Linked DNA regions of Arabidopsis thaliana. The protein of the gene in region 1 interacts with the protein of each later gene in a pairwise test. Each region holds a gene or a part of one and is shown on either strand. Other genes may lie near its edges.

Region 1 (4,599 bases):
CAAGATTTTGGAAATCGATGATTCACCAACTCAGGTCAATCATTCGGTTTAGTGTGGAGTTTGGAACTAGTGTGGCTAGGCCGGTTTGAGATAAACTTACCAAAGCCAATTGGGATGGTTTTGGTATAGTCAGAATAGATAATGATATTAAATTTTGGTCCGCGGATTTGATTTTGTTTCGGTACCGTCGTTCTTTTGGTATTCTCGCTCTTCGCCATTATTGATAAATTGAATTGAACCGTTCAAACCCGGTTTACTGGCTAAAACGGTTCTTTCTTTCAATTCAAACGGTTCTTTCTTTCAATTCAACTATACAAGTAACACTGCCACGTCAACTCGAAAAAATGGGACTATGGATTGTAGTTTACACAAAGACCAATTTCAGTTTTATTTGCTTGTAATGAGACTATGGATTATAGTCTTTTTATTTTTCTTAGAGATTTGAGATGGGTTTTGAACTTTTGATGATCTCTTTATGGAAAGCGACAAATAATTAATAACATCATGTGAAAAGCCAAAAAAAAAAGTTTGATGAAATTTCCTATGCTAAACGACAGAATATTATAATGGTTAATTGATCTGCATTTCTTTTAGCAAGCTTAAACCGCATGCATACACAATGGCATTAGCAGTAAAATTATGACAATATGGTTACAAACCCCTATCAATCATATGCTTTCACGGTTTTATTAAATTTGGAAAATGTAGCTTAATGTATTAAAAAATCGTTAATTAATGGGTGTGTGCCAAACTAATAATGATACATATATAATCAAAGATTTTGGATTAAAAGAACAGTTATTTTGAACGAAGACCAAAAATGAGTAACGTGGGTGTGACAGTACGAGATCGAGAGCGGCTTATTCGTACGGTAAAGCTTAAAAAGGAAATTGGTTATTATCCTTTGGTAGCCAAGACAAAAAAAAATGAACCAGCTGGTTTCAATTACGTGGCAGATTTTGTTTTTGTTTACATCACTCGCTTTCTCATTCGTTCAGGTTCATTGCAGACTTCCCTCACCGCCGTTATCTTGTCTCTTCTTCTCTCTCAAATCACATATCTTCCTTTTTGTTTTGTTTTTTTTGATTAACTTATTGTTTGTTTTCCCCAGTTGATGGAGAGAATGAACATGAGCGAAGAGGAGGAGCAATGCAAAAGAAACCAAGAGGCATTCAAGAGATTCTTCGAGCAAATCCCCAGGACTGCGGTGATAGGCATGCTTTCCTTCTTCCTCCACGGCCAGATGAGTAAGTTCGAGAAAGCTCCAAGCAAGCCTCTTTCCAATGCTTTCGCCTTCGCCTCCGTGGGCTACGTTGTGTTGCAGGTCGCACACGGCTTTGCTCGAGCTAATCGTCCTTCATCTTTCGCTTTCGACTTCCTCTCTGTTCTCTGTGGACTTGCATCCGTTGCCATTCTCTTCACTGCCATCTTCAACGACTGAGTCAACCCCCAAGTGAGTTAGGGTTCTTTTTCTCTAAATAAAAATGAAATAAAATCTGAGATTGATGATATGTTTCTTCTAGTTGAGTCATTCCAGTTTTTTCATTTCTGTAACGAATCTATGGATTTATGTTAAAACCCTAATGTGAAAAACCTTTTGGTTGATCATCATCCAAGACGGCATTTTTTTTGTGTCTTTTACTAGCGAAGCATCTTGATATTTTACTCTAGTTTTAGGTACTAGGATCGGTTTTCTACAATCGGATTCCTGATCGATTATCAAAACCAATCAACCTAGAACTGGTTCAGCAAAATTTCAATTTTTTCTCTTCCGAATGTTCTAGAATCCCTCCATAAACAGAAATTTGGACTTATTCGAGTCAAATCCCTAAAGGTGTGTATGGGCTTTGTAATAGTTTGGCCCATTATTCCGAATCATTTCCTTGTTAATTGAGTGTATTAATAAATGTTTTGGACTGGTTTGTACCAAAAAATAAAATAATGTTAAGCTTAGAAGATTAGAAGATATACAATAAACTTTCCAAATCGGCAACAAAACAAAGTATTTGATATTGGTTTGATGTGTTTCACGACCATAGAACAAGACGGTACATTATACTATATGAATGTTGGCAAAAGACAAGTTTTTATGTTTAGTTACGTTTCTCTGCAAACGAAGATATTTTTTAGTTTGATCGGTTTTCTACAAACCGGTTCCAAATCAATATGATCCCATTTTGGTTTTCTCTTCAGAATGTTCTAGAATCAGATGAGTGGGACTTGTTGAGTACAGCCGTATAGGTTGTTTGGGCTTTATGAAATCTTTAGGCCCATAATTCTGATCCATTATATTTCCTTTTCTCCCCTACTTGTAAGGGTTTATTCTGGATTACTCATTTGCCTTATAACAATGGCTTCTTCTTCCGAAGAGATTGTGTCCGCCGGCGAATCATCAGAGATCGAGGAAGCGGTTGCGAGTCTAACCATGTCTTCTAACAAGATTTTGTTGACGAGTTCCGATGGCGAGTCTTTCGAGATCGACGAAGCGGTGGCGCGTAAGTTTCTGATCATAGTGCACATGATGGAGGATAACTGCGCCGGTGAAGCAATTCCGCTTGAAAATGTCACCGGGGATATCCTCTCCAAGATAATCGAGTACGCGAAGATGCACGTCAATGAACCTAGTGAAGAAGACGAAGACGAGGAGGCGAAGAAGAATCTAGACTCGTGGGACGCTAAGTTCATGGAAAAGCTAGATCTGGAGACCATCTTCAAAATCATTCTCGCTGCCAACTACCTAAACTTCGAAGGACTTCTCGGTTTCGCTAGCCAGACGGTTGCTGATTACATCAAGGACAAAACACCAGAGGAAGTACGAGAGATTTTCAACATCGAGAACGATTTCACGCCTGAAGAAGAGGAAGAGATTCGCAAGGAGAATGCTTGGACTTTTAATGAGTAATCCAACTTTAGGGTTTGCAGAATTTCGTTTCGAATTGCACAATTTAGGGTTTCTCTTCTCCCCCCTCTTAGATTTCGTGAATGGGTTCATCTTTTCGTTATCGACTTGGTCTCAAGTAATATTCTTTGTAGATTGACCAATGTTGTTCTTGCTCTATTAGCGTTCTAATTCGATTCTCGATCTTGTTCAAAAGCCTAAAAAAAATAATCAGTGTGTTCTTCTATTGTTCTTCAATTGAAAACGAAGATACTAGTAGAACCGGTCGTAAATCAATTCTATTATCTGGCCGGTTATCTATTTTAGTTCTCTCCAGAAAATTTTCAAAATTCTAATTAGTGGCAAATGAATGATCGACGCGTGTATGACAGCGCTCATCGAGAGGACCCACTCTGTGCGACCATCTTTGTTGTCGTTGACGTATTGGTAAGGATTTGGGCTTTGTGAGAATCACGGGCTCATTTGAATGCATAATCTTATTAATGGGAATTTTGGACATCATGGTACTATTTCGTCGAACACGACGAATTTAAGGTTGACTTATCTTTCTTTTTTTTGTCAACGAATATAAGATTGATATTTTTAACAATGCATAAGTTAAGATAAGAGTTACAATCTTGTAAGATTAGGTTAATAAAGTAATTATGTTATCTAAAAATAGTTAGACACGCATAGCATTTGTGGTATCAAAAATTCCTCTGCACAGAAGAAGAAATGTCTCTGATAGCAAGTGAGGAGACAGGCTGCTCTCTGATACGGGATAAGAGGATGGAGGTTTGCTCAGTTGCAATATCTAGCCTCTCCTTCGATTTAGCCGATTCTGAGACCAGAGTCGAAACCAGATTCTGCAGAAGCTGAACTCTCTCTCCATGATCCTCAGCGTTACTTCTGAACGTCTTGCTAAACGACGTGCTGATCCTGCGCCACCTAAGTGGAAGATACCTATCAGGGACCTGAAAACAGTTTCCTGTGGAGAGAACACGGAGTGCGTGCCTGCAGAGAAACCCAGAGAACTCAAACAGTTGGCAACTGCAGCTTATGATGCCTTCTTGAGGAACCCAATACACTTTTCTTCCTCCATCGAGTTTTGTGTGGTGCCTCACGAGATACCCCTCATCCATCTGGAACGATGCGTAGTGAGCAGCAAGCACAAGCTGTTCTTGGAGCTTGGAGAATGCAAAAGGAGTGAGCACCGAGGCTGCGTGAGATTCCATGGGGGCGCCAGTTTTTAGGCTGATGTTTTGGAGATTCTGCTGCATTGTTTGCTGTTCTGTAGCTTGGTCTTTAAAATCCACAACAACAGCCACCTGCATATTCACCCATAACTCAAATAAGCAAAAATAGCAAACTCAACACACGTACAGTACCATTTCATGAGATTAAAATGCATAAACCCTATAAAATAAATGCTTGAACAATTACTGCATAGAAGGCCTAAGAGCTTGAAATAACTCATTTCACTAGCAATGAATAAACACTGTCAGAAGGAGAAGAGAACATACTTGTTCTACAAAGTGAGCTAGCCGGGTTTGTGCGCTCAAGAACCTCTGAATAAAGGCGTTAATGGCTTTGGATCGGCCAGTCAAAGTCATTCCAGCTAGAAAATGGCTTCTCAGGTATGGTAAAGACCACAAGGAACGTGAGGCATACAAGTTGTTGATGTGTCTGTTTGTGTGCAGTCCAAAAGAGTTCACCATGTC
Region 2 (5,416 bases), on another chromosome or scaffold:
TTGAATCTCTCCACCGCAAGATTCTCTCGTTACCGAGGCCGCATCTCTGCGGATAAGTGGCCCGGGGACTTTCCTGGGTCGGAACTTGGACAAGCCCATATGACCCATTCACTTCGTCCAGTGACAATTGTGTTTGGTTTTACTTTGCAGATGTATATATAGATACGTCATATTATTCTTATTACCGATGTGGGATGTTAACCTAAAACGTTTCATAGTATTATTAACTTTCGTTTTTTCTGGGTTGATGAAGTGAGGGATTTAATTTTAACTAGAGAAAAATTGGACTTTGAATTTTGATGGGTTGAGCCAGGCCCGTGCAATGATTTTTATTTGTTTTCTAGTCCTGAACGTTTCTAAAATAGCAAAATACATCCTATATTCTTTCTTATTAGCGAAATAAACCCAGATCTAGTATAATGTTGTAAAAACCATACCTCTTTTTTTTTTTTTGGTTTCAATGTGAAGAGCATACAGATCACACAGAGATCAAGTACATGGCCATCTCTGCTTGTATTATCTGAGCTGTTCTCATGTTGAGTTTCCAATCCTGGTGAGACATTTTTGTAAGCAAATCAATTCCAAGCGTATGCAGAAAAAGGATTCACATGTTAATACCTCCAGTTACTAGTTCGGCTCTCTTAGCAGCTGCATCAGCAACTCTGCAACAAATAGCTCAACACTTAATTTGGAATGACTATCTATTTGCAAGTATATGGCTTTGGTTAATATATGACATTACCTTTTCCGTAACAATCGCCCCCGCCTTCTCTCTACAATATACTGAATCACATGCTTGGAAATCAGAATCACACCAACAACAGTTAAACCTATGGAGACATATTTGAACCTCCTGCCAAAGAGATCCTTTTAGACTTTTTCAATCTCAGTTTTCGAGGAAGACAATAGCCATACTGAGAAGAGAAACAACCTTGACCACTTTTCCAACGGAAAGATGATCTTATCGAGCGGTACAGGTGAGACAAAGAAAAGTCCATTCTCGGGGTTTTGAATCCTGAAACCACGGACACCGTCCTTAACAACCTGATGACATGGTAAGAAACAATACAAATGAGATGTAGAACGTATATTGGTAGTAATATAAGAAGATTTTGGAACCGGTGACAGATAAAAGGCGTACCTCACCAACAACTGTAACCGGTGTGCCAATTGAGAGGACAAGCTCACCTCACTATATATGAAATTTTATGTATGGATTATGGAACTCATTTGCTGTTTGCAACATATCGCCATTGTTATAGTCATAGAAACAGAGGGGAAGATGTAATAAAACCAAATGTTATTGTTTCAATTTCTTTTTATACTTCACCAAATTAATGGCCAACATTTCGCAATAAAACAAACCAGATACAATAAAATTCTAATGATCTATGACTATGAGTGTGTAGTGTACCAAAATTATCTATGAGTGTGTAGTGTACCAAAATTATCTAAACCCAAACTAGACAAATCGGTGATAGATAGAAAGATCTTCTCACGATCCACAATCAGCCTGCAACTACTACTAGTGAGCTCCACATCTCATAGGAGAAATCTAACTGAGATTTTCCTCTTGTGGTTTGCATATGGCCCAAGAGACCTAATTCCACGTGGACATCGCCACCACCATTGGATTAGATCACACTTCCGTCACTGTTGTCGTCGTCTTCTCCATTGTCTTCTTCCTCCGATGAAAGCGGAATCAGCCAGCAAGTGCCGTGCAAGTGACCGTTCACGCACACGAAGAACTCTAACCCACCTTCACGTGATCCCAGCCGCCGCGCCGCACTCTTCGGGACGAGACGCGCCGCCGTCATGCTCCACACGCGCCCTCCGCAATACGGACACCTAACCTTCTCCTCCAGCGCCGCTTGTCTTCTCACGAGACACTCCCTCGTCTTTGACCTCATAAATTCCCGAAATACCCCTCTGAAAACCCCTAAATGCTCATCTCCACCCACCGCCTGATGCTCGCACGGATCGCTCATGTATAGGAGATCACGGCGGCAATTCTTTGGCAGGAAGAATCTCCCGGATGTCTTGGAGAATCTGGACTCGCAGGCGAAGTGACCCGACGTCGGTTGACTCAGATTGAAATACCGAGTCGACTCACCCCCGCCGCAGAAGAACATGAGTTTCGCTAACGCGTGCCAGCCGCCGTCGATTCGACCGCTGGGATCTTCGCCGGACAATGCCGCCACCATCCCTGGCGCACGGTTCACACAGAGCCGCCGCCACAGAATTCGTCTGGCGATTGCGCAGAATCTGCGGCTGAGGGAGGCGATTGTGCATAGCGTGTGGATGTCCCAGCTAATGGACTCGAAGACAAGAACCAGGACTCGCTCATTCTCTATACCTGACTTACCCGAGTTGGGTAATCGACTCGGTTGGTTAAATTTGAGCCGTCTATTCGTGTTCATCTGGACGACGGAGAATCTTCCCTCTAGAAGCATTTGAGTTTTTGCGGTCTAAACACGCGCGTCGTGATCTATCGTATTTATATCAGTTGGTCCGGTGCTCGAGAATAACACACGTGGCTTTATGCTAGAATAAAAGATCCATGGAGCTCCCCGACGCTAAATGTGTCGAGCTATCATTGGTAGTTGTGACGCGTGTCCATTGGTGATTGCGTGCGCTGCAACAGAGAATCGGAGGTATAAACTGACGTCTCGATTGGTATTAAAGGAAAAAATTAAGGAATGGGAGTGCCACGTGTCGAGCGAGAGACGGAAACGCGAATCCGAAACGTACTTTTCTGGAACCAAAAATATCTCCCGGAACACGTGTCACGTTCAATTGCAGTCGAGAAACGTGGCAAATACGAAGTAATCTTCCAAACTAAGAAGAGCCACAAAGCAGTCGCATGAAAGGCAGCATAAGCTCCCAAAAGGTCCGTCCAACAGGAAGATTTTTTTAGTGGTCAACGTCTTGGTCGAGTTTTTCAAGATCGGGAACTGATGCTTTTTGCTTTTTGTAGTGGTCAACACATGACAACTACAAACTACTACGAAAATGTTTGATGGATTGGATAACGAGGTTAAGCTAATAATGGGCTGAATGGACTTTATTAAAGCCCATACATTCCGTTTCAAATAGAATGGGCTTAGAGGAGTGGTTGAATCACGTGGATTTGTTTTTTCTTTTTTTTAACTCTGATCGACGTTTTGTACATACCAGTCAGATTCGCTCTTTTAACCTTTTAAAGGAAATAAAGTTAACCTACGCGTGTAAGGCGCACGTTAGACATCGCCTTTGGAAATTGGCAAACCCTACACCGACCGAACAAACGATTAACAAAAATATACATACTCCTCATATCGAGAGCAGCTTCCTTTTCATTTTCTTCTCCCTCTCCTGGGTTTCGTGTGTGAATGTTTCTCTTCCACAAAAGCGATAGAATCCACCAGAAATCTTCGATTGTCTCTCTCCCTCATCTCAATTAGGGTTTACGGGACCGATTTTCTTCTGTCTTGCGTGCCTACATCCGTCGATTGGGTTGGGAATTTTCAATGCCTGCGAGTTCTTTAGCGGAATCTGTCTCCGAAAACCCTAGGCACTGCCGAGCTGCTAATTTTCGCCTGTGGTTCTGGCTTAACTTCGAGAGTTAGAATCCTTACCTTTTCCTTTTCTGATTTTCGTTGTTTTTTTTTCTTCTGAATTCCGATGGCTCCGAGCCGCAAGAGAGGGGGTGGTAGGGCTGCGGCGGCATCATCCGCTCGCCGAGAGTGGAAGGTTGGCGATCTCGTTCTTGCCAAAGTCAAAGGATTTCCTGCTTGGCCTGCCGTGGTATGTGCATCTATGGCTTTGCTTTTTCTGCTATTTCTTCTCTTTTCTGTTTGGTTCTGCAAGAATTGCTTATTAGATTCATGATTTAGTTTCCAGTTGACGGTAGAAATAGCTATAAATTTAGGGTTTGAAGTTGCATGTATGTGCATCTGTATATAATTCAGATGAAAGTTCCTCTCTGGGATTAGCAACTGCCTAAGGGATATGGATATTTTCAGAGGGGTTGGTGACCTTATCTAGTTTTTGGCAGATTGCAGGAATACCCGTGATTAGTTGTTGTAGTTGTTAGTAGATTACCACTGATCCAGACTTTCGTTTAGCAACTTTATAGGCCATTTTACATCTTCTAAGTTTTGGATATATGATGATTATTCCCTATAATATCCCATTTGCCACTTTCCAGACCAGTTTGAATTTGATTTTTTGGATCACTTGCTCCTGTGCTAATTGCTGGGAGTGATTTCAGGTTGACGAACCGGAAAAATGGGGCCACTCAGCCGATTCGAAGAAAGTAACTGTTCACTTTTTTGGCACTCAACAGATGTGAGTTCTCAGGCCTTTAGTATCACCCTCATATATTTTGTTTTGCTTTCTGGTCATACTTCCCAAATGCTTACATTTTCAGTGCGAGTTCCTATTTGTCATCCTACACTTATTTTAGGTCCTTAAATTTTGTGTCCCCGTTTGAGTTGATTAATTCATTTTATTATGATTCTTATTCGAGGAGATAAACTTCGGTTCTTGTCTCACTAGATTAGGACGTAGAAGCTGGTACCTTGGTTATGGCTGTAGATTTTAACCTTTCCTGTTCCGGCAGGATCAATTTGCTGTGATGTATGTTCTCTAACAGACACCACTAAGCTCTAATTTTACTTGGTTTAGAATCTGAATCATTCCTGGTTTGAACTTCTGTGTTCACTTGAGTTAATGATAATTGAGTCGATTTTCTTCTTTCCAGATGTTTCGCAATAGTGCTTCTTTGTTGAACTTATCGTTAGCAATTTTGTGTAGAGCTTCCATATCTGTTGGATGGTGACTTTTGTTATCATTTATCTTAAAGCCTTTTGCATGTTGAATTCTCTGAAAACTCTTTAATCATTTACTTTGCAGATTAGCATCAGCATTTAGCGAATGTTCTTTTTGTTGCTTCATTCATTCCCACGGTTAAGTGGATACTGATGTATAATTATTATGACGAAGCATTTTAGCACAACTGTCTGCTTTTCAAATTTAATTGGTTTTTAAGGAATCAGTCCAAGGTTGTAGTAAACTATGCTCACTGTCTCTTCCCTCTAGATCAGTTAAATGTTATTTATTTTAGGGTATGCAGTTAGTAATATTTTCTGGTGTATGTGCAGAGCTTTTTGCAATCATGGTGATGTTGAATCATTTACTGAGGAGAAGAAGCAATCACTTTTGACAAGACGGCACGCCAAAGGTTCAGATTTTGTCCGTGCTGTCAAGGAGATCACAGAGAGTTACGAGAAGCTGAAGCAGCAGGACCAAGCTAGTGGGCCTAAATATGCTGAAGAAACAACTGCTGGAAGTTCTGGGAACACTTCACAGCTGCCTCAGGCCTGTGAAAATCTAATTGGTTCAAGACTTGACACTCAAATAGAGTCAAGTTCTA
Region 3 (6,194 bases), on another chromosome or scaffold:
CACTTGGAAGATTTTGTCTGTGTTTGACTATGGAGTTGCACATAAATGGTTAGGGATCAGAGGAATAAGTTGACTCAGGAAGTTTCTTCTGCTTTCAGCGGCAAGCTCAACATCCTTGTAAGTTCCCTTCTCATGCTAAAGACATTTGTTGTTTTCTATGCTTTTTTTATTGAATTTTCTACACATTGGAATCTTCACCAATCTTGAAATTCTACATATCACATTAGCTCGTATCCTTGCAAGTTTCTTATCCGATAGAACAATCTTCGAACCATTCTGCCACACTTTTATCAGGTTTCTATATATGTTTGGTCTTAGGATTGAATGGTTTAGACTTTTGGTGGTTTTGCCTCGAATGATCAGCTATCTGTCTATTCCATACATGTAATGTGAAGGCTTACGGTTTTTTGTTGAACCATATAGTGATGCTTGTTGATCTCATGTAAGTTTTCCATCTATTAGGCAAGATCTGTTATATGTTAACATAGTTAAGATTACCAGCACCGGAGGAAATCGCGTCACTGGTTGCTTTTCTTTGCCTTCCTGCAGCCTCCTACACTACAAGACAGGAAGAGCTAAAAGCATGCTTAAATGATTGCAAATCCAGTGGTTTAGTGGTGTCTGGTTCGGTTAGAGATCAGAGGGATAAGTTGATTCAGTGGCAAGCTCAACATTCTTGTAAGTTCCCTTCTTCTGCAAAATGCTTGTTAAAACTGACTCTCTAGTTTTTTCTCAGCATTGTGATCAGAATCGTCATTGATCTTGAAATAGTTTATTGCATTAGCTCTGCATCCTTATAAGTTCCTTCTCCATCAAAACATCCTCATACAAATCTATTTGCTGGCTACGCTTTTGTCAGGTTTCTTCATTAGGTTTGTCTTAGCCTTGAACGGTTGAGATTTGTGTTGGTTTTGCCTTAAATGCTCTGTACCTTAGTTTTATGTCGTTTCATCATCATATTTTTTTTCTTGCAGAAATCCAAGGCATCGGATGCAAGTGAGGAAACTATCAATGTACTAAATTAATTGCATAAAATCCGTAGGCCATACAATGGTTTGCTTGGTGACATATGATTATTCAATGACTTTGTGTGCAGACTACATTCGATATCAATGTCTTTGGGACGATAACTCTTATAAAGTTGGTCACTCCTCATATGCTAAAACAAGGAGGCGGTCATTTTGTTGTGGTACGTGGAGACTAACGAGGGATAGTTTTTGTTAAGTGCCCTAATTTTGTGGATTTGTTGAAGGATTGAGCTTCATATCATAGTTTATGGATATGGATATACATTGCGTTTTTTATATGTTAAATCTAAGGCTTTTAAGCTATGTATAGATAGTTTAAGGTTTCTTTTGTATTTTTGTCTTCTGCTTGCTAAATTCCAAATCATGTTACCGTATACACATCTTGAGAAGTCAAACTACGGTTAGCTATTCTTGTATGTGTTAATTTTCCATTTCCTTGGGTTAAATGTCATGATTAATAATTCACGTCAGTCTATAGATAAGCAGTGCTGCAGGAAAGGTACCATCACCTGGACAGGCTATATATTCTGCTTCAAAACATGCTCTGCACGGCTACTTCCACAGCTTGCGTTCTGAGGTATGTTAAAAGTTAAAGAAACTGTGGTGCTTGCTAATTATTTGGCAGCTAATGACTTATTGAAAGTCACAATAGAAAACTCACAGCTACCTCAGAGTTTTCTGATTTGATTTTTTCTTTTACATTCCTTTTCACTAATTGCTGAGAATAGCACCATAAAGTAACAATTCACAGTTGGTTCACAATCTGCCTATGGTTTCAGTTCTGTCAGGAGGGAATCAAAGTGACCGTCGTTATTCCTGGTCCAATAGAAACGTTGAATGGTACAGGAACATCAACTTCGGAAGACAAGAAGTCTCATGAGGTTGGTTAACTGATTGTGATTTGTTGATTAAGTTGTCAGTTTTTTGTACTTGTACCTTTCCTTTAAGCAACTAATCAGTCTTGTAGACACATAGAATCCTCTTCCTTTTCAACATTAGGATCTTCTATCTCCGGCTTCTTTCTCTTTTTATTTCCACTCAAAGATCTTTTCTTTTGCTACACAGAAGCGTGTGTCATCTGAATGATATGCAGAACTGACTATAATCGCCGCGTCTCATAGCTTGAAGGAAGCTTGGATTTCATATCAGGTACTTGTTTGTCAAAATCGCATATGTTTCACTCAGTTTAGATGCTGATATACGATCTTCTTTTTGCTATTTATCAGCCAGTACTGCTTGTGATGTATCTAGTGCAGTACATGCCTTCCCTTGGCTTTTGCTATTTAGTTTCTTTGCGCTCAAGAGGTTTTCAGATGCAGCTACGAGATAAATCGGACTACTGTATATAGTAATCCAACAGGCTTTTGAGCCCAGTGGACTTGAGTTCCTAGAAAAGAAAAACCGAAAAGAAAGTTATGTGATGCGTATATTGAAGACTAATGAAAAGCTTTTGGGGATTCACTTGCTGCCAGAAACTCACAGACAACACTCCTGCCAAAGCTGTCACAAGGCTGATCACTGTTCATTCTTTCCTTCTCTGCAGATATGTGCCGGCAGTAATTTAATTTTTGGTAACTGCTTTCTCCTTCTTCTCCTTTACTCATTTCCCCTATATTTCCTTCCTTTTATCATCATTATATACAAATTGGTAAATATCATTTTTAGATTGTGATCTTCGAAAATTTATTATAGATGTCAATAGATCTAAAAGTTTATACAAGAAGAAAAGGTGAACTCGGAAACCGAAAAGATGGAGAAGGAAAGTCAGGAAAACTCGACCAGACCCGATGCTTCGTCTACTGTTTTCTCTTCCTCTAAGGTAATATCTCTCTATAATCCAAATATCCAATCCTTTTTCTCTTATGTGGGTGATGCGATATTTATACAAATTGCAGAGTACATGCGCAAGCCCTAGCTATCTCAAAGAAGCTGGAGACTTGATCAGTAGGTTGCCTGATGATATTCTCCAACTAATTCTCTCCTATCTTCCAACCAGATTGGCGATCAAAACTTCCGTTTTATCCAGGCGATGGAGGCATGTATGGTCTGATACATGGTCCCTCTCCTTCCATAGGGACAGACCGGATGCTCCTTGTATTAACAGAATCCTAGATCGCTACAGGGCTCCCAAGATGATGAGTTTTCGTATCTGTTCTTGTTGCAGGGCAGCCTGTATCAGCAGACCCGACACGCATGCTGACATCGACAGTTGGATCAACTTCGCCATGTCCCGAAACGTGGAGAATCTGTCCCTGTATCTCGATGAGGATAAATATGATATCCCTGAATTCCTTTACATCAATTCCTCTCTCAAGCAACTCTACCTTGATTTCGGCTGCAAAAAGGATTTTATATCTCTGAATCCCAAATGTTCTGTGTCTTGGACATCCCTGAAGAACCTGTCATTGTATCATTGCAACATCTCTGATGAATCCATTGCTATTATTCTATCTGGTTGTCCCATTCTCGAAAGCTTATTGTTGTTTTTCTGCAAGAAACTGAAGGTCCTTGATCTCAGCAAATCACCGCGTCTGATAACATTAGAAATCACTCGTAGATGTCGAATGGAGCCAACACAGCTCGTTGCACCACATATCCGTTGTCTCAGATTGATAAACTCTGAGAAACCATGTGCTTTAGTTGATGTCTCCTCTTTATCCCAAGCTGAACTAGACATTACCGCTTACGCAATAGTTGATAATAAACTGGAGGCTGATTTTCATCAGACCATGGTGGTAAAGATGTTAGAAAAGTGTCAGAATGTGGAGAAGCTTACTTTGGGGGCAAACTTTCTTAAGGTATATGTTTTCACTCCTGATTTAGTTTACATAATTAGGCTCTGATTTTCAAGAAAACTAGTGTGTTTTTTGGTATACACTCATTTGTCTTCTGTTTTTTTTTGTTTGTTATAGATGTTATCTCTTGCCGAGCTCCGTGGTGTTTCTTTTCCAAAGTTGAAGGCTAAAGCTCTGATACTTGAGACAATGATCTCTCGATATGTTATTCATGGTATAGTAAAGGTGCTACAAAACTCGCCTGACTTGAAGAAGCTAACCATACACCCAATGGGGTCTGCCGGCTCATATCCCATACCGGTAATTATGAATATTCCTTGACCCCGAATTTTGAATCATCATATTGAAATATACTTGCATTACAGGAAGAGCATATTGACATATACTTGGATTCTCATGGCTTGAATTGGGATCCATCCTGGAGCTCGGAGTTTAAGAACACTTCCCGCAGGAATGTAGAGTCAAAGCAAGTGGCTTCGTTTCTGCAACTTGTGCTTAAAACCATATCAACATTAGAGTTGATTGTCGCAAGGTTGGAAGGTTATATCAAAGGAAGACGTTTTGTAGAGTTGCGTCAGATGGTTCCAATGCTTCCTCGCAACAACGATGTCTCCATTGTGCTCAGCTCAAGAAGAAAACGATTCAGAGTGACTTAAGTCATTTTACATTTAAGTAGTACACTAGATGAAAATCTCTTGTTTGTTTTTCTTACTGAAATAATCGAATTCTGTTAAATTGATTTTAAGTTGTGAAATTGTTTTTACGTTTTACCATTTCCAATCTACTGGCTAACCTCGGAAAAACGGTCTAGTGAGCGAGCATTGCCTTGAGAAACAGTACCCGCCAAATCCAGCTCTCATGTACACAGTTTGATATTATTTCTTTCCAGTACTTTTGATTCAGCAACAGAGAGTTCTTTTCGGGCTATGTAAGAATCAATTTGCATTGTCTGCAGCCTATCCGGTGGGGAGCTGAGCCAAGGAGCAAGATTTGCTCCATATCCATTTTCTTCAATTCTAGTTATGCATGCCTTGAGATCCACGTACCTAAGATAAACAAAGAATCAGTCAGAGGTGACAAACCTAGGACAAAAGAAGTTGCGGAATCGAACAAATTTTGGCCTAAGGAACAGAAGCAAGGCATATCAAATATCACAAGTCTCAAGGTCTTGGATCTCTCTGAGAACAATCTTGATGGATCTCTCCCTTCATCTCCTGGGATACAGGCATGAAAGAATCTCTCGTAAGTTCATCTTCGCTTTTGCGTTTCATATACAGCTTCACTATCGTAATACATAACTTAGCAGTGAACTGGAAGAATTCAAAGCAAGGTCTTGCCAACAATAACGTCTGCCTCTACACTCTGATAGACCTCTCCATAACAAGCTATTCGGAGAAATCCCATATTCTTTAGGCAATCTCAAAAGCTTAAAGCTTTTAAACCTCTCATACAACGACATCTCTGGATTGATCCCACAAAGTTTTGGAAATCTTGAGAAGGTAGACCTTTCACACAATAACCTCTCAGGCGAAATCCCGCAGAAACTATCCAAGCTCAGTGAGCTGAATGTATGGAGTTGAGCAACAACAAACTTATAGGTAGAATCCATGAGAGTCCTCAGCTAGACAGATTGAACGATCCGAACATTTACGCAAACAACAACAAAATATGTGGAATGCAAATCCAAGAACCATGCTCGACACAGACCAAGCAGCCAGAGAAGCAATGTTTTCATGGAAAGCTGCAGTCATAGGTTGTCCTTGTGGAATTCTAATGGCAGTTGTCTAAATGTATATGGTTGGCTATTTCAGAGACTCATCACCACCACCAAGGCGATCTCTCAAGAACAGATGACTGAAGAAATCAAAATCTCTGTTTTTTTTAAAACGAAATGGAAGATTATTCAGATGCTGTAACATTGAAAAATAAAACAGTCTGTTAGCAATCCCTATGAAGTGATGTTATCAAGAGAGTTAAACAAAGTAAATTGTCAAATCACTTTCCAAAAAGTTGTATTTTGATCCTCTGTTTTTTACTCGATGAAAACAGAATCGTTTAATGTAAACATTGGCAGCATATAACAAATTCACAAAAATCTGTGTCTTTTTGGTGACATCAAGGATTTTAAGATAACAGCAGAGATTTGTTAAGCAAAAAGATTGTTTAAACAAGAAATATCACCTTCTTGCGATGACGATCAGTGTGAGACATATATTCCAATGGAACACGAGCACCCCTAGAAAGCTTTGAAAGAACAGATACTAAATCTCCAAGACCGGAAATGTCCTCATTAGCAACCTTCTTTATGATACAAAAATGGTTGCAGATACAATTTCCATCTTACTTATCCTCACTCCTAAACTTAACAACT
Region 4 (6,516 bases), on another chromosome or scaffold:
AACAAAAAACAGCAAAATTAGTCCACTTCCACAATCATTTCTCTTTTTGATTTACTTCTAACGATTTTTGTTAAAACCCACGATTATGTTACAATACCTAATTCATATGTTGGTAATTTGGTGTACATCTGATTAGTTTATTAAAACGTGTTTGAATTAAGTCTTTAGTAATCGTGGTGTGTGGTGAAAATGAAGAGACTGTCTATATCGACATATGTGTTGAATGGGTAAGTGCCATGGTCAAAGCTTATAACTAGTTTTCATTGTCTTTTGATACGTTTCTCCAAAATCTTTTCTATTTTTCAGCTGTATTCTGATATGAAGTCTGGATGAAGGATTTTAAAATGGTTTAGAATTCAGAAAAGAAATTTACTAGTTATTTTTTAAAAATGAATGTGTGCATGTGTGAGTGTGTTTGCTCCATAGTGTAAAGAATGAGAAGTGAGAAGTGACTTAATGTGCACAAAGGTGCCTTTGGCAGAAAGATCAAGGCCTGGTCCATAACACCCCCAAGTGACAAATTAGTATTTGCCACTATGTTCTATATACATTTTTATCCTTTCTTTGTTTATTGTTTTTCTGTGTCTTTACACGGACCACCAAATGGGCCAAATTGATTAGTGCATATTGATCTTGCTAGATCTTCCCACAATCTTCACATCGTAATCATGTTCTTTTAAGAAGAAAAAGTGTTGTTTTCACACTCTTAACTCATATATAGATACACGAAACACGATTTGACTACAGCTTCTACTCTCTAGGTTAGTTAAAGTTTTTTTATTATTTTAAAAGTTATTAGTTAGATGCTTTTCATAAACGATGCAAGAAGGTACCCAAAAAGAAGTTGCAAAAACAAATCTTATTAGAGTTTGTTTTCATTATTATCGTTGCGTTTTATTTGTTTACGAGTGAAGAAAAGAGAAACAAAAATATAGTTGCTGAAATTTTAGTATTTATAAAATTCGCAGCAATGGATATTAGAACGTATCCATAATCTGACTATAGATAATTCTATATCGTGCCAAGAGGAACCAAAATAAATTGTACATGTCGTTTGATTCATTCCTTTAATTTATTGTGTAAAGAAGGATCCAATCCTAACAAAGTCTTCAAAACCTTCACATTTTTTCGAAATTTAACGACAACTATAGGGTTTCTAGCTAGATTTGAAAGTTTTTTCACAGTTACACCTTTACCTATCTGCAGTAATACTTCCACAAAACTAACGTTAAACTTCTGCCGGTACAAATACATGTGCTTATGTAAGAATGAAAACATTTTGAATTTAATATTTTGCACTGGACACGTTTTTCTTTTGCCATTATGGATTTTCACATAGTGACGGATACGTGTAGATCCGCCGATCCCTATGACAACATAGCATTTTGGAATTTGTTTACGTTCAACTCCTTTAAATAAATAGTTAAGGCAGTGCGTCACTATACTGCTTATTACTACATAGTCTAATTTGGTATATGCTTTGATTATGGATTTATGATAATCAAAAGTTATATGGTATAACCAATTGTCGTTAGCTCAATTGGTAAAGACCTTAGGCGAAGCTTAGAGGTCGCCGGTTCGTGTGATGTTTGGGACGAAACTAATATTACATGCTGTGGTTTCGGGCCTGAGGGGATTACGGGCTTCGGCCCAAAACTTCTTGGATTTCAAAAAATAAAAATAAAAAAGTTATATGGTATATTCTTTTGGATATTTCATTCTCTTTTTAATTTCGTTTCGCCTTAACCGCATTCTCTAATTAAAAATTTAGGTACATGATTCACACTTTTACAGTTTAGCAATGTATACAGTTTCGAAACAAATTCAGTTTCCAATGCCCATGAAAACGCGTATAATACCATAAAAGTTTATGTTCTCAAACTAGATTGAGATTAGTGGCCAATTGATCATGCATGTTCCATTTAACTGAAGATATACGTAAACATGATCAATCGTCCATGAGAACAATTTCAGTCTTGCTACACTAAAATGCAACGGATCGTAAAAGTGATTTATATTTTCATAGAACCACCACATAAATAATTAACAATTGAATTCAGATCTTAAAAAACATAGACAACAGAACCAATTTTGTTCTAAAAAAAGGCACTAAGGAGCAATGTGATCATATAGTTTAATGAGCCAGCAACTAATCGCACACTTGTAATATAATGGAATATATAAATATGGGAGTAGCTAGCTATATAAACCATAAAGGGTAAGGGCATATGATCGAAAGAAGAAAGAAAGTAATGCATATGGAGCTGAGATCAGTATATAGCTTTACACGTTAAATGTAGTTAGTGCACATGACGAAAAACTAAAAATAATACACTTGAGATAATTTGCGTTGATTTTTAATTTTGAATTTGTAGAGTGAGTGTATTAGGTAAAGGACAGGCCACTGAGAAACTGCGAGAAGTCTAGGCTAAGGAAAGTAGAGAGACAGACCTTTCAGTGTTTCAAAAGCAAAGTATAATTACTAAAGGTAAATTATAATTTTTAAAAATGATCATTTATTTATTCAAATATCAAATAATTAGAAGACAATCTTTCTAAAATAAATATAAACAAAAAATGACAAAAAGGTTACCTCATGTGGTATGTCATTTTCAGCTAACCCCTCTGGTTGCCAGAGTAAATACCAAATTAAGTAACTTTTTAATTTACTAATGTATAATTGTTATCTTTCGCCCTCCTAAATTTATAACAATATATAATATACTGCTAAAAAATATATAAAACTTCTTATATTAGTAATCCGATATGTTGGTTAAATAAAATAAAACTGAAATAATCATATTTAGTCTAGGTACAATATTAATAACGCCGGGTTTAAAAAATCATTTAATTGGTTGGTTTATGAGTAAGACAGCATTATTATTGGTGTTATGATATTTCATTGTTTTTTGTGTTTGCAAGTTCTAATTTTTGTTTTTTCTTTCTTTTGCAAATAATTAAATTATTGTATATTTAATACTCACATAGTAAAAATTAAGGAAATAACACGCGCTAACACGCGCCTCAACTTTAATCATTTTATTTATTCAAACCCCATTTCGGAAATAAAAATGACAAAAAAAAGAAGAAGAGGAAGAAAAACAGCAAAAACGTCTACTCTTCTCTCATCCTCGCGCTTGCTCTCTCTTCTCTTTTTTGTCTTTCCCTTTCGTCTCTCTATCTGTCTGTATCATTCATTCGTGTTTATTTACAATCGAACCACGAAACGTCTCTTCTTCTCTATAAAAACCAGATTTTTCTCAATCTCAATCTCTCTCGCTCTCGCTCTCGTTTTCTTTGATGAACCCTTTTACTTCATTCTTACTCTTGATAAATCCAAATTCCCGAGAAACCCATTTCATTTCCTTCTTCTGTTTCTAGAAAGACCTCTTCTTTTCGATAAACCGAGATCCACGAAACCCGCATTTCCTCTCGCTAATCTATTCTAAATTTCGATACTTTTTTTTTTTTTTTATCGGTTTGAATCTCGAGAATTCCGAAGATTCAGAGTCTCCATAGTCGAAGGTGTGTAGCGAATCGAGATGGGTTTCTGTTTGATTTCACTGTCGCTTTCTCTGCTTTCATTTCTGAGTGGTTCATTGATCTCTTCCGTGTTCGTAATCTATGATTGATGATGTATGTTGTTATCAGATGTTTGATTGATGTCTGCCTATAGTCTAATTTCATTATTAAGAACGTTTTTTTTTTGTATACCTAACATCTAAATTTTGTTGTATTAATTGTCATCAGTGGAATCTTGACGTTGAAAGGATGACACAAGCTTTCTCCTTTTTGTTTTTCTTTTGTCTGAAAAATGTATTGCAATGTTAGACAAAGTCTTAATACTATCTCTCTTCTTCGTCTTCTGCATTTTCGATTTACCATTATGCATGTATGCTAAAGCAAATCTGATTGACAAGGTTTTCTCTTGATTTATGTATTGTTGTTTTGTGTTGTTGAAATGAATGATATTTGGGATTCAGATTCGTAAAGCTTTAAATCTTTATGTGTTCTTTTCTTGGTAATGGATTTATTTATTTTTTGTATCGTTGTTTCAGAGGCTCTTGAGAATGGAAGCAGAAACGTCTTGGACCAATTATCCGTACAGCTACATTACATATGTCCCTGAAGCTGAATCATACCGTGAGCAGAGCGACGATGAAGCCAAAGTCGAAACCTTTTCAATGGATTCTCTTCTCCCTGACGATTTATTAGAACGAATCCTCTCGTTTCTACCCATTGCAAGCATCTTCAGAGCTGGTACTGTCTGCAAAAGATGGAACGAGATTGTATCTTCTCGGAGGTTCTTATGTAATTTCTCCAACAATTCGGTTTCCCAAAGGCCTTGGTACTTCATGTTCACTACCACGGATGATCCATCTGGTTATGCTTATGACCCCATTATCCGCAAATGGTACAGTTTCGATCTCCCTTGTATCGAAACATCCAATTGGTTTGTTGCTTCCTCTTGTGGATTGGTTTGCTTCATGGACAATGATTGCAGAAACAAGATTTATGTCTCAAATCCAATTACCAAACAATGGAGGACGCTTATTGAACCTCCTGGTCACAAATCGACAGATTACACGGCAATGTCTACCTCCGTAAACCGAGCGAACCAAGCAGTAAACCGCGCAAACCGGAGTTACTCAGTCTCGATAGTGAAATCGAAGCAAGTTCCAGGGAATTTCTTCCAATGGGATCTCTCTATTCATCTCTACAGCTCTGAAACAATGACTTGGACAACATTAGTAAACGATGTCTTATCCGGATGGAGAGGAGGGAACGAGAGTGTGATCTGCAACAATGTTCTTTACTTCATGATATACTCAACGGGAGGCTCAGATCATCGCCACGGCTTGATCGCTTCGAATCTATCCTCGATAGGATCACCGTCAAGCGGAATCTTGATGAGGAGTTTCATTCCAATGCCGTGTTCTTTAACCTGCGGGAGATTGATGAATCTAAGAGAGAGGCTTGTGATTGTCGGAGGAATCGGGAAACATGATCGACCAGAGGTTATAAAAGGGATAGGGATTTGGGTTTTGAAAGGGAAGGAATGGGTAGAGATGGCGAAAATGCCTCAAAGATTCTTCCAAGGTTTTGGTGAATTCGACGAGGTTTTCGCGAGTAGTGGCACGGATGATTTGGTTTACATTCAAAGCTATGGATCTCCCGCGCTTCTCACGTTCGACATGAATCTCAAGTATTGGAGATGGTCTCAGAAATGTCCTGTTACTAAAAAGTTCCCTCTTCAGCTCTTTACTGGGTTTTGCTTCGAACCAAGACTCGAGATTGCTCCTTAGTTGCAATGAAGAAGCAAATGGGTCTGTGAAAGTCTTGGTCTTTTGGATTGTTTTTGCACAGAGAAATCGCCGGCGGCTTTATGAAGATGATGATACGGTAATGTTTTTAAATTTTAGTTACTGGAAATGTTTTTCAGGAATATTGTTATTTGCAATTTGGTACTCTGTTAATTATAAATTTATAAAATGAGGCCCAGATACTTTTATTTGAACAAACGAACCCTTCTCTATCTCTCAGTGAAATATAAGAACATTTTTCAACATGTGGCCCACAATATCTCATGTAAATGGGTCGGATTCTGAAACTGGAGGTTGTCTTGTTGCTGTTCCTGGTGGATAAAAATAATGATTTTGTTCCTTTTTTTTCCACATATATTCATAATGATTTTTCATGTTTTATTAATTAATTATTGTTGTAAATTATTTTAAAGAATTATGTTTCTGTACTTGTATAAAATTGGGACCTATTTTCGTGATGGGATTTGTCAGGTTTGGCAGTGTTAGGTTTACGGGTAATGGACAACAGCTATTTTATTGTGTATTTTATCATTTTCTCAAGGGTCACTTATTTTCAATTTTCATAGCTATAATAATTTACTAAATTTTAAAATATAACAAAATGTCATTCATTAGTTATAATCGTATAAAAGTTGACGAAGTGATATATAGATTCTACATACTAAAAACAAAATTAATTTGTGTCATTATGCCAAAATGTCAAAAGGAAAAGAAAATTTAGACAATTACTCTGACACATCAAATCAGCTAAAACCTAACTAAATATACCAAACTAGCAACACATATTTTTGTTATTAAAAGCATTTATAATGATAAATCATGATCAGAATCATAGTAAGCAGATTCGAACACTAGTCTCTCAAATTTCGGTAGTAAAGTTTTCAACCATTAGAAGACAAATACGATTTTAACATCATTAGTATTGTTTTTTCTTTTTTAATTTAAGCGTTGGCTTTCCAAAATGAAATAGTAACAAGCATTAACGAGTTAAGTTGTCAATGGGGGAAGTTAAAACTCTTTAAAACCAAAAAATTGACCACACAACACATATAGTGCCCACTAGTTCTCTCAAACGAATATGGAATACTTTAAAACCCACCTCTATTCTCAAGAATTAAAGCCCAGAATTTCAACGTTCTAAAAATAGTTTTGAAAGATTTGTTTTTCACGGGTTTTTCGTAAAATAATTATG

What was found.
Region 2: the proteins of SK18 (region 1) and EDL3 interact in a two-hybrid assay, tested with the Arabidopsis thaliana proteins (2 studies listed by BioGRID, with this or other methods).
Region 3: the proteins of SK18 (region 1) and AT3G03360 interact in a protein complementation assay, tested with the Arabidopsis thaliana proteins (one study listed by BioGRID).
Region 4: the proteins of SK18 (region 1) and HWS interact in a two-hybrid assay, tested with the Arabidopsis thaliana proteins (2 studies listed by BioGRID).

The regions. Positions count from the first base shown.
Region 1 is NC_003070.9:3,353,250-3,357,848, forward strand, and holds SK18 (E3 ubiquitin ligase SCF complex subunit SKP1/ASK1 family protein), read left to right. Parts: upstream 1-2,425; coding exon 2,426-2,902; downstream 2,903-4,599. Other genes in the region: AT1G10225 (transmembrane protein), read left to right, coding at 1,115-1,441; FRS11 (FAR1-related sequence 11), read right to left, coding at 3,586-4,206, 4,402-4,599. UniProt on the Arabidopsis thaliana protein: Involved in ubiquitination and subsequent proteasomal degradation of target proteins. Together with CUL1, RBX1 and a F-box protein, it forms a SCF E3 ubiquitin ligase complex. The functional specificity of this complex depends on the type of F-box protein.
Region 2 is NC_003074.8:23,299,004-23,304,419, forward strand, and holds EDL3 (EID1-like 3), read right to left. Parts: upstream 2,863-5,416; 5' UTR 2,454-2,862; coding exon 1,635-2,453; 3' UTR 1,287-1,634; downstream 1-1,286. Other genes in the region: AT3G63052 (uncharacterized protein), read right to left, coding at 1-108; AT3G63070 (Tudor/PWWP/MBT domain-containing protein), read left to right, coding at 3,664-3,786, 4,253-4,329, 5,145-5,416.
Region 3 is NC_003074.8:792,440-798,633, forward strand, and holds AT3G03360 (F-box/RNI-like superfamily protein), read left to right. Parts: upstream 1-2,466; 5' UTR 2,467-2,599; intron 2,600-2,720; 5' UTR 2,721-2,847; intron 2,848-2,923; 5' UTR 2,924-3,065; coding exon 3,066-3,067; intron 3,068-3,192; coding exon 3,193-3,826; intron 3,827-3,940; coding exon 3,941-4,123; intron 4,124-4,188; coding exon 4,189-4,479; 3' UTR 4,480-4,574; downstream 4,575-6,194. Other genes in the region: AT3G03350 (NAD(P)-binding Rossmann-fold superfamily protein), read left to right, coding at 54-117, 259-294, 489-678, 937-1,013, 1,097-1,189, 1,507-1,605, 1,808-1,909, 2,094-2,114; AT3G03370 (uncharacterized protein), read right to left, coding at 4,984-5,155, 5,266-5,444, 6,005-6,124.
Region 4 is NC_003074.8:22,788,844-22,795,359, forward strand, and holds HWS (Galactose oxidase/kelch repeat superfamily protein), read left to right. Parts: upstream 1-3,268; 5' UTR 3,269-3,624; coding exon of another isoform or gene 3,625-3,636; 5' UTR 3,637-3,824; coding exon 3,825-3,920; intron 3,921-4,058; coding exon 4,059-5,306; 3' UTR 5,307-5,498; downstream 5,499-6,516.